3 linked regions of the Lonchura striata genome follow. The protein of the gene in region 1 purifies or fractionates together with the protein of each later gene. This does not show direct contact. Links are inferred from orthologs where the notes say so. Each region holds a gene or a part of one and is shown on either strand. Other genes may lie near its edges. The genes, in order: CUL1, PSMA2 and FBXL18.

Evidence for each region.
Region 2: the proteins of CUL1 (region 1) and PSMA2 purify together in Homo sapiens (affinity purification with mass spectrometry; 3 studies listed by BioGRID and IntAct, with this or other methods). This does not show direct contact. The link is inferred for Lonchura striata from reciprocal best matches to the Homo sapiens genes CUL1 and PSMA2.
Region 3: the proteins of CUL1 (region 1) and FBXL18 purify together in Homo sapiens (affinity purification with mass spectrometry; 3 studies listed by BioGRID and IntAct, with this or other methods). This does not show direct contact. The link is inferred for Lonchura striata from reciprocal best matches to the Homo sapiens genes CUL1 and FBXL18.

Annotation. Positions count from the first base shown.
Region 1 is NC_134603.1:107,528,869-107,532,614, forward strand, and holds the start of CUL1 (cullin-1), read left to right. Parts: upstream 1-1,397; 5' UTR 1,398-1,523; intron 1,524-2,960; exon of another isoform or gene 2,961-3,746. UniProt on the Homo sapiens protein: Core component of multiple cullin-RING-based SCF (SKP1-CUL1-F-box protein) E3 ubiquitin-protein ligase complexes, which mediate the ubiquitination of proteins involved in cell cycle progression, signal transduction and transcription.
Region 2 is NC_134603.1:104,634,965-104,638,710, reverse strand, and holds the start of PSMA2 (proteasome subunit alpha type-2), read left to right. Parts: upstream 1-1,055; 5' UTR 1,056-1,132; coding exon 1,133-1,173; intron 1,174-2,859; coding exon 2,860-2,936; intron 2,937-3,471; coding exon 3,472-3,604; intron 3,605-3,746. Other genes in the region: MRPL32 (large ribosomal subunit protein bL32m), read right to left, coding at 661-784.
Region 3 is NC_134618.1:14,661,480-14,665,225, reverse strand, and holds the start of FBXL18 (F-box/LRR-repeat protein 18), read left to right. Parts: upstream 1-987; 5' UTR 988-1,168; coding exon 1,169-1,195; intron 1,196-1,333; coding exon 1,334-1,534; intron 1,535-2,363; coding exon 2,364-3,746. UniProt on the Homo sapiens protein: Substrate-recognition component of the SCF (SKP1-CUL1-F-box protein)-type E3 ubiquitin ligase complex.

The sequences.
Region 1 (3,746 bases):
CAGGTTCATGTAACTCCGTATCCCTCAATAAGTCCGACCAAACACCATCACACATCTTCCAAGCAACTCACAGTTGAACAATGTAAATTTCTTTCAATTTCTACCCTCTTCTTCTCTCTGCAGTGTTGTTTTCAAGTTGTCTTGTTACTACTCTGAAACTTACAATTACAGGAAGATTTCTAAGCTCTTACAAAAGCCACATTTAATCAGTTTTCAAGGCAATGTTCATGCACTTAGAGGCAATGATTCCTGATGTTATTCACATCAGGAGCTCAGAGAAGCTTCACAGTTTGGTTTAACACTTGCTTGACAAAGATACACTGTTAACTCACAGCTGTACCATCCATTCGTGCTCCCAGACTTGGTGTGGTGCCATTCACTGTCCAGGACACTTTGGAAACCTGTCTTTCTCATAAATACAGAAGCAGCTCTTTAGCCATGGATGGAGGAAAGTCTTATCATGTCTAATGATGTAATCCTGAAACACATGGAATCACAGAATGTTAAGGTTTTGGAATGGACCTTAAAGATCATCTAGTCCCAACACCCCCTGCCGTGTGCAAGGACACTTAGTTAAACACTGCCAGGGCTGGGGCATCCACGACCTCCCTGGACAATTTATTCCCTTGTTCCAGCACCTCACCACCCACACAGTAAAGAACTTCTTCCAAATATCTAACTTAAAATTCCCTTTGTTGAATTTGTACCTACTACCCTGTGTCTTATCACTACAGTTCCTGACAAAGAGCTCCTCTCCAGTTTCCCTCTAGGATTCTTCAGATACTGGAAAGCTGCAGCCACACAACCTTCTCTTCTCCAGACTGAACAGCCACAGCTTTCTCAGCCTGTGTTCATGGGGGAGGTGTTCCAGTCCTTTTATCACCTTCGAGGCCTCCTTTTGGCTAACTCCAACAGCTGCATGTTCTTCTTATGTTGGGGACACCAGAACTGCACACAGCGTTCCAGCTGGGGTCTAACCAGAGACGAGCAGAGGGGCAGAATTACCTCCCTCGCCCTGCTGACCCCAGAGCTGCTTTTGATGCAGCCCAAGTTCAATTGACTTTTTGGCTTGCGAGCGTACACTTGCCGGCTCATGTTGACTTTTTCATCAATCGTCACTCCCAAGTCTTTCAGCTCATCCTTCAGCTCTTCTGGCACCGGACTAACCTGGGGAGGGTCGGAGCACCGACCCCTCGGGCAGGGCAGGGCAGGGCAGGGCCGGCCCGGCTGCCAAGGGGATGGCGGCGGGCCGGCCTCCCCCGCCGAGCGGCTGACGGCGGGCGGGCTCCGCCGCAGGCCGAGGCCCGGCCCCGCCGGGCCCTGCCCCGCCGGGCCCTGCCGGCGCGGGCAGCCGCAGCCCCGCTTCCCCGCCCGCCGTGAGCCGGGGCGGGGCGGCTGCGAGGGGCGGCGCCTCCGCGATCCCCGGGCCGCGCCGGGGGGAGGTGGCGGCGGCGGATCCGGGCCCGGCGGAGGCGGAAGGGGCGGGCGGACGTGGCCCTGACTCTGCGGGACGCGCGATGCTGGTGAGTGCAGGGAGGCCGCGGCGTTGTGTCGCAGCGAGGCCTGGCCCGGCCCGGCCCGGCCCGGCAGGACGCGAAGGCGGCGGCGCGGGGCCCGGCACTGAGTCACGCCGCGGGGACCGGGGGAAGGGGCGGTCGGGCCCGGCCCGCCCGCCCGCCTTTCTTCTCCCGGGGGCGCTGCCGGCCCGGGAGCGCGGGGGCGGCGGCGGTGGCCGCCCGGGCCGCTCGTGGATCCGGCCCCGGAGCCGCGGGCCGGGCCGGAGCGGGGAGGCCGCGAGCTGCGCACTCAGCACGCATCGCCCCCGGCGGGGTGCGGGAGCGCCCCGCTGGCCGCCCCGGCCCCGCAGGAGCTGCCCGACCACCGCGGGGCTGCCCGCTCCCTCCCTCCCACCCCGGCCTTCCCCCGTGACCGCGGCCCCCGCATGGCTAGGGCGCCTCGGTGCCTGCCCCAGCCTTTCCGTCCCGCCCCGGCGGCTCTCGGGCCCGTCCTCCCGCAGCCCTCGCTGTGCCCCAGTCGGCCCCGGGACTGCCCACCCCAGCCATCCCAGGCCCTGCTCCTCCCACGCCTCTCCCCTCTTTTCTCCCTGCGAGCTTTTGTCCGTAACCTCACCGGGCACTGTTTTGGGGAGTTCACCTGCTCTCTGTCCTCCCTGTCCTTTCCTGTGCTGCTTCCTTTCACCCTGTTCATCCCACCAATCCCCATAGCCCTGGTGATACTCAGGTCTGTCTAGGAGCTATTTGGTTGTACCTGGAGACATTCCCTAGTGCTCTCACGTACCATCGTGGCTGGGGGATCTTTGCCACAGTTCATCTTGGTCAACTTCTCTAGGTTTCTCTTGCTCTCAAGGACTGTGCGCCGGGTTTCCCCTTGTTGCCACCTACTGTTGTAGGTGCCCCGTAACCCTTTGTTTGTCTGTGTACTTATTGTCTCTATCCAGATGACTATCTTGCATTTTTTGTTTCAAATAACCAGCTCATTTGTTTCCCAGTAACTTTGCCACTGCAAGCTAAGTGTGTCCTGATTGGGGTCCTTTCCTCATCCTTCTTGTTTCCTCTTGAAGTTATATTCCAGCACTGTCATTACCCCTCTGTTACCTTTCCCCTTCCAGTTTTCTTCTGCCCAGTAACCGTTTCCTTCTTCATGCTTTTTTGCCCTTCTGATCTTACTTTCCTGTCATTAAAGCCTTCCTTGTGATCTCACCTAATACTCTTTTCTTTGCACATACTCCTTTCCTCTGTAGATTCATATACTGTCTCCCTCACTTTGTATTTAAATGCTCTATCTATGCCTTTGAGGAGAAGGGAATTTTACCCTAGGTTATCTGAATACTTGTGTTCTGGTTTCAGCTGGCATAGCATTAAACACTGAAAGGACAGAGATTAATTACTTGGTTTACCTTATTTTGTTTTGATTTTTTACTGTCTTCTTTAGCAACTTTTCCCTTGGTATATGTGTTCATATATAATCACTTACCTCAGCCCTAATACAGACACATGCCCTGATGCTACTCGGGGAGAAAAAAATCTCTATTGGAAATCCTTTTGGGAGGACTGGGAAGAATCGTCCATGGAAGCCAGAAATATGTGGTGGCTACATAGCTTGAATTAGGCTAAATAATGTTTGTAATACCATATTGTGAATTGGTACTTAATTGGTGTGGAGTGTATTTGGGATACCTCCTCTTTGGGGAAGTAGCAAGATACTGTACAGGTACCATGGTACGTAGTTTTTACTCACAATGAACTGCTGTAATGTCGTGTGTTGATGATTACATGTCTGTGTGGCATCGGCACTTTGAGTTTCTGATGGTGACTTGACCAGAAAGAAGCCTTCTCCATCTGCTTTGTAACTTCTTGTTTTTAGTATTTATTGTCCAACTTCTTATTTTGTGTCTGTCTTAGTTGGTTTGGTTCTTAAGATTGGTTACATTTCACAGCCATCTCATGACCACATGTTTGAGGTGCAGTTTCAGCACTGGACACACTTGCCCTGTGGAGGCATGGTGAGCACATTTGATCTCGGGATTAATTCATACACCTAACTATAGAATCCCGGTTCAGTGCCTTGTGTTAATAGCGTCTCTGGAGGAAACTTTCCATTGCTTAGCCAGGGATCTTATAGAAATATAGTCTTAGTTTGGGCACCTAAATTAGGCATATGTGTTTTACTCCTTAGCTGACAAAGTAGCGGTGGTGGTTTAGCAAAATGATTCTTCTTCCACCTTG
Region 2 (3,746 bases), about 2.9 Mb from region 1:
CAGCTGAGGTTATTTCATCTGTTCAGCCTGGAGAAGATTGAGAGGAGACCCCCTCACAGTCTACAACTTCCTCATGAGGGGAAGGAGAGGGGCAGGCACTGATCTCTGTGGTGACAGGACTCAAGAGTGTGGCATGAAGCTGAGTTAAGGGAGGTTTAGATCAGACATTAGGAAAAACTTCTTCCCCCGGAGGGTGTTTGGGCACTGGAAAAAGTTCCCCAGGGAAGTGGTCACAGCTCCAAGCCTGATAGAATTCAGGAAGTGTTTGCACAATGCTCTCAGGCACATGGTGTGACTAATGAGGCTGTCCTGTGCAGGGCTGAGCTGGACTTGATGATCCTTGTGTGTCCATCCCAGCTCAGCATCATCTGTGATTCTGAGATAGAAATTCCTTACAGCCGAGCACCGGTGCTGCCATCACCCCTGAAGCAAGGCCAGAGCGGCGCTCCCGCCCCGCTCCCTCACTGACCCCAGCGCTCCCCCGCCCTCCGCCCTTCAGGGGTAAAACGAGTCCCTCGGCCGCGACGTCGCCCTCCCACAGAATCACAGAAACAATGGCGCTGGGAGGGACCTCTGAGATCATCTACTCCAAACCCTTCCCAAGACAGGTGACACAGGAACGCGTTCCTTCAGCTGGGCAGAGAAGGGGCCGGAACCTACCCCAGGGTGGGCTTTGGCCCCCGAAGACACCCGGCCAGAGGCCGCGCTCCAGCCGCTCCCAGCAGCGCTGGAGCAGAGCGCGAAGCCGCGGCAGCGGAGAGCGGACCAGGACCAGCACCGCCATGAGCCCGCACAGCCCCGCCGAGCTCACGGGGGAGGCGATCCTGTTCCTGAGCCTTCTGGGAAACCGAGTGCCCCTAGCCGGCCACGACATTGCGGGGAGGCAGGAGCAGGACTCCAAGTCCCAGCACTGCTGTCGCTACCAGGAAGGCGGGGCGGTGGAGGGCGGTGGGGGACTCAAACACCCAGCCTGCCTCACGGCGCGCCTCCGCCAACCGCATCCCGGCGCGCTCAGGCAGAGGCCGCCACCCCGCCAATCAGCGCGCTCGCTGTGCCCTCGCGCTGGGAGCGGGAGAGGCGTTCGCGCCTGCGCCGAGGAGGCGGCGCGGGGAGCGCAGGGGCTGGTGCCGAAATGGCGGAGCGCGGCTACAGCTTCTCCCTCACCACCTTCAGGTGCGGGGGCAGGGACGGCTGTGGGCTCGCGGGCAGAGGCGGGCGGGCTGCCGGGCCAGCGGGAGAACGGCGCGCAGACTGAGCGGAGCGGCCTGCTGGCGGCGGCGAAGCAGGACCGAGGGGGCGCTTTGCAGAGTCATCGGGCCTGCGAGCGCTGGGGGGCAGCGGGGGCTCGACCTGGGCAGGAGTGACGGGCGTGGGGAGAGCGGCGGGGCTCAGGCGCCCGAGGGGGACACGCAGCTGCCCAGAGGCTTCCTGAAGGGCCGCGGGGCGGGTCCCTCTGGTGTCTGTCGCTGACCTCGGCCCCCAGTGCGGGCGCCGCTTGTGTCTCCGCTGCTGTAGGACCACATTAAGGTCTGTCTCAACACTGCTGGTGCCTGTCAGCGAGTGCTTGGCTTAGCAAACTCGGGGGCACCACACACACGCAGTATAGGCTGGGGAATAATTCTATGATTCTGAGCTAACTGGAAATGTGTGATGACAGCTGAGCTGTGCTGTCCTGAGAGCTTGCTTCAGATGTGGGAATGAGTGAAGCAGATGAGTTTTAAAATAGTTTGTGTTCCTTCCTGCTACACTTGGCATGGCTGCTCTCCTTGCACTTGGTGTTTTGCACGGTCTGAGTGTGGAATGATGGCATGCACAGAGTGAATGTGCTATTGGAGTAGTCTTTGTTGGGTGTTGCTTTAATACCTAGACTGAAGATTAATTCAGCATAAAGGAAATTATCTTCCATTCATATTTTGGAATTATTAAAGTATTCAGACCTATGTTGCATATAGAAAAAAGAAAAACTAGCCATAAGAACCTTTACGCTGTTGTGGTGAAGTGTCCCTTTAATCTCAGTGGAGAGTTATGTTGTGTAACTGCAAAAGGGATTGCTAAAGGCTTGTTGCAGTTGAGCAAATGAAGCAGTTCGAAACCTAAAATGATGAAAAGAATGTTCTTAGTGGATGGAAGCAGCCAAACATGCTTGCTTTGCTCAAGTAGATTGAATTCTTTATTAGCTTTCAGAAACTATTTCCTAAGGGAGTCACAAACTTTTTGTATTTTACAGAAGCACTATGTGCTTGGAATGATTGTTCTGATTTGTTATAGTTTGTAGTGGAAAAGCCAGAATTACTACTTTGTTACCCTTACACCCCGTTTCCTCAGTGTATAAGTGACTACACTGATTGATTACTGCTTGGTTTTCTTCATCTAAACACTGAGTTACATAATATCCCATTTTACATCTGCAACTATTAGAGCAGCAGTGTCTGAAATACAGCCTAGAGAACAGATCACATGCAAAACCACTTGTCCAGTGAGTGCTTGTCTCTGGTGTCCTTTTTAGTAGGGATGGAGAATGGACCCCTCCATCCCCCTTTTCTGAATAAGTTATACTTTGTAACTTACTTTGCATGACACCTGCAGCTCCATTCTGATGATCCTGCATCCTTTGCCAGGATAAGGTGGATCATTAAAACAAAATGCAGAATTATCCGGGAATGGAATGGGAGTTGTGCTGTCTTGCTTGTCAGTCAAAAAGCATAGCTGTGTTTTGCTGGTTCCTTTCAGCAGTGAACATCAGTGTCTCGAAAGCTCTTGGAAACCACATATACAATGTAATTTCAATAGAAAGTCATGACACACCCTGAAGATTTTTCCCACTGAATGGAAAACTTTATTTTGCATCTTCCTTTCTAGTCCTTCTGGAAAGCTTGTTCAGATTGAATATGCTTTGGCTGCAGTAGCTGCAGGAGCTCCATCAGTTGGGATTAAAGGTATGTCCTGAAAATACTGATGGATTTGGGATTCTGTCTATTTTTTGGGAGAACTAAAGCAGTTTGGATCGTGTAACGGGTCTCTTGTATTGGATCCTTATTTATCTTTCTTTCTGTCACATGTTTTGTTACTCTTTCAGTGGATTTTCACATGCTTTACTAAATTTTATGCTTCCTGGGGTTCTTTTTTTGGGTGATTTTGGAGACATTCAGCTGGTAGAAATAGGTGTTTGGTTTTGGGGCTTTTTTGAGTGTTCCTGTCCTTTTATATAGAAATAACACACACACAAAAAAAGCTAGTTAGATTGCTCAATAATTAATGTTGCACAGAATCTTGAGAATGGGATTATGGGAGCTGTATGTTCATTTTAAAAAAGAAACTATGTATTCATCAAAGTATCTCTCTTTAATCTAATTGTAAGCTTTAATGTTTTTTAAAGAGAGAGGAAGAAGTTTTTTAGTTTAATAAGCTCATTCTATGTTTTGACTGCTAATTTTAGTTTAATTTTTAAAGAAATTTTTTGTTCTTTTCTAGCTGCAAATGGAGTGGTGTTGGCAACTGAGAAGAAGCAGAAATCCATTCTGTATGATGAAAGGAGCGTCCACAAAGTAGAACCAATTACCAAACATATAGGTTTAGTGTACAGTGGTATGGGTCCAGATTACAGGTATTAAAACATTTTGTTTGATTACTGTTTAGATGCATATTCATACAAGAAGTTTAAGTAACAGGTAGCAATTAGCTGTTTCTTTCTCAGTGTATGTCATAATACTATATTGCACTGTAAATGACATTCACATGAAGTTTTT
Region 3 (3,746 bases), on another chromosome or scaffold:
AGTGGCTGAGGAGGGGTCTTGAGTGCCAGGATCAGCCGAGGAAGGGTCTTGAGCGCCAGGATCAGCCGAGGAAGCTGGCGGGGGCTCAGCCTGGAGAAAAGGAGGCTCAGGGGCACTTTCTTGCCCTGCACAACTCCCTGACAGGAGGCTCCAGCGAGATGGGGGTCGGGCTCTGCTCCCAGGGAGCAGTGGGCAGGATGAGAGGAAATGGTGTTAAACTGTGCCAGAGGAGGGTCGGGATGGACATCAGGAAGCATTTCTGCACAGGAAGGTTTGTCAGATACTAGAAGGGGGTGCCCAGGTGGGTGGTGGAGTCACTGTCCCTGGAGGCGTTTATGGAAAGTCTGGACATGACACTAAGCGACACGGTGGCGTTCGGTCAAAGATTAGACTGGACGAGCTCAGATTTCTTTTCCACCGTGAGCGCTCTCTCACTCCGCGGACCCGCCGCTCCCTCCATGGCGGCGCCGCCGCCCTCAAGATGGCGGCGGGGGGCGGCCGCGCCGCGCTCAAGATGGCGGCGCGGGGCGGGCGCTGCCGCGGAACCGGGTCATGGCCGCGCCGGAAGAGCCGTGAGGCGGCCGGGCCGGCGGGAGCGAGCCCGGGACGCGGCCGCTGCCAGCGGGGCCCGGCGAGGCGGCGGTGGTGGCCGCGGCGGGACCGCGCGGCTGCCGCCATGTTGCGCTGCGGAGAGGTGAGTCGGGGCTTGTGGGGCTGAGCTCGGCGCCCGCTTCCCCTCCGCAGCGGCCCCTCGGGGCGCCGGTAACAGCGGCGGGCGCGGGGCTGCGGGAGCCCGGAGCCCTCAGGGCGGGCAGCCGGGCTCGGGGGCAGGCAGAGCGCTCGGCGGCGGGGCCGGAGCGCCGGGATCGCCCTCGGCGGGTGATCCGGGGGCTGTGAGGTGCAGCAGCCCCGCTGCCCCTCCGCGGCTGCCCTGGCGTTAGTGCCGGTTTGCGCTCCGGTGTCGCCGTTAAGGCGCGGGGGTGTTGCACAAGAGGTGGGGTGATGTTGGGCTGCAGTGTTGGTGTGTTTCTGTATGTGTAAGCAGATATATATAGCCGTATATATATGTATATATGCACGGTTATGTAACTCTAAAGGTTATTGAAACGGGTGGCGCTTGGAGGAAGGATGTAGAGGGAGATTGCTGTGATACATTTAGGAAAGGATCATGGACAGTCGCTTTTCCAGTTGCGAAGTAAGTACAATGAATGCAAATGTTAGCCAACAGTGAGAGACCGAGTGAAAGTGCCATGATTTCGTGTGAAATTTTGCACTACCTCCATATTCTCCTTTTATTTTTCCTCTTTTTTTTTTTTTTTTTTTTTCCTACTAGGAGGTCGTAAGTGAGGAGAGCGAGGAGGAAAGCAATGGAGTCAACTTGATGGAGTTCTCAGATGAGATCCTTCTGCACATCCTCAGCTATGTCCCTTGCACAGACCTGATCCTCAATGTCAGGAGAACCTGCAGGAAACTTGCAACGCTTTGCCTTGACAAGAGTCTAACACATACAGTCCTGCTTCAGAAGGACTATAAGGTGGGGAGAGTAGTTTCTTCTGTTAGCTGTGAAGACAAATCATACTTCTGAAAAACAATACCAAGAAGTAGAACTTTCCAATGTTTATACATAAATAGACTGCTCCTGAGCTCTGAAATCAAATACACAGTAAGCTGTTGTATAAAAGCATTTATTTTCCAGTATGCTTTGTTGAAACAGCTCTGTGCTTCCTTAGTTTTATAAAATACTGTCAGTGAAAACTTAACTTCTCCATATTTCTGGAAGCTAAAATGAAAGTAAATGTGACCTTAAAGTTACTATTTTCCCAAATTATGTTTTCCCTGTTGTTGTGCAAAAAAATCTTGTGCATGTTGCTGTCAGGTATGCAGTCAGCAAAGCCAGAAATTGTGTGCATGTTATAACAAAAATAAAGCTTGGGAAGGAAGGGTGATATATTCAATAAGAACTGTATCAGCTAGTGCAGGCAGGGGAAAGCCCCCTGTGCTCATTTCCAAAAGAGGAAACTGAATGAAGAAGAATGGAAACATTCTTCTTTCAATTTGAGTTTCTGCACATAGGCAGTTCTGCCAAAATAGTTTTGCTGGTAGAAAATTGAGGTGGTTTTCCTTTCCACTGTCAGCTGCTGAACAGTCTGTAATGCAGAACTGCAGAAGCAAAAGGAAGTGTAAATCTTAAGAGTCCAAAGCATGGCAAACTGAGCTGCCAGCAGTGTGGTAATTCTTAGGCTGTGCTGCCCTCCCCAGACTTCTGGATGAAAAGTACCAGCCACTCTTCTCTCCATCTCCAGCTGGGAAACTGAGTCACCACTGCTGTATCTCTCACTGAACGTGGTTTTGTTTGGATGCAGGTAAACAAAGACAAAGTGAAGCAGCTGATGAGGGACATTGGAAAGGAGATCTACCAGCTGAACATGGCCGGGTGCTACTGGCTGCCCAGCTCCACTATCGACCACGTAACACGGTGCAAGAACCTGGTGAAGCTGAACCTGTCCGGGTGCCACGTCACCTCTCTGCGGCTCTCCAAGATGCTCTCCACGCTGCAGCACCTGCGCTCCCTGGCCATCGACGTCAACCCGGGGTTTGATGCCAGCCAGCTGAGCAGCGAGTGCAAAGCCACCCTCAGCCGCGTCTCGGAGCTGAAGCAAACCCTCTACACGCCCTCGTACGGGGTCGTCCCGTGCTGCACCAGCCTTGAGAAACTGCTGCTCTACTTCGAGATCCTCGATCGCTCGCGCGAGGGGTTTATGCTCTCTGGGCAGCTGATGGTGGGCGAGAGCAACGTGCCCCATTACCAGAACCTCCGCATCTTCTACGCCAGGCTGGCTCCTGGCTACGTCAATCAGGAGGTGGTGAGGCTGTACTTGGCAGTGCTGAGTGATCGGACACCTGAGAACCTCCACGCCTTCCTCATCTCTGCCCCCGGCAGCTTTGCGGAGACGGGAGCCACCAAAAACCTCCTGGACTCCATGGCCCGAAATGTACGTCTGGATGCTTTACAACTGCCCAAAGCCTGGATTAATGGCTCTGGGCTCCTGCAACACTTGAAGTTCAACAACCCTTTCTACTTCAGCTTTAGCCGATGCACCTTATCTGGTGGGCACCTGATCCAGAGGGTCATTAATGGCGGGAAGGATCTTAAAAGCCTGACCAGTTTGAATCTCAGTGGTTGCGTTCACTGCCTGGCCCCGGAGTCCTTGTTTCGGAAAGCAGAAGATGACATTGACAGCAGCATTTTAGAAAGCTTGGTAGTGTCTTGCTGCAACCTGAGACACCTGAACCTCTCTGCAGCTCACCATCACAGCTCTGAAAGCATAGGGAACCACCTGTGCCAGCTCCTGTCCAGGCTAAAGCACCTGCTCTCATTAGCACTACCAGTTTGCTCCATCACAGATGTTGGTGCAAGCGTGGAGAAGCCTCCCAGCACACCTAATTTGGTGCCCCAAACATTTGGAAGGAAAGTTCGGATTGGGATACAGACATATCCAAGGAACTTAGGGGACCAGGCAAATCAGAAGATGGAGTCTTCAGTGTTTTGGGCTCTGATGGGAAGCCTCCGATTTTTGGGAACCTTGGAGATAATTGGGTCCAGTTTCTCCTCTGCCATGCCCCGCAACGAGCCAGCAATTCGGAACTCGTTGCCTCCCTGTGTCCGGGCACAGAGCGTGAGGGATTCAGAGGTGGCTGCCATTAGCCAATTGACTTACCTGCAGAGCCTCACCTTAGCACAGCTG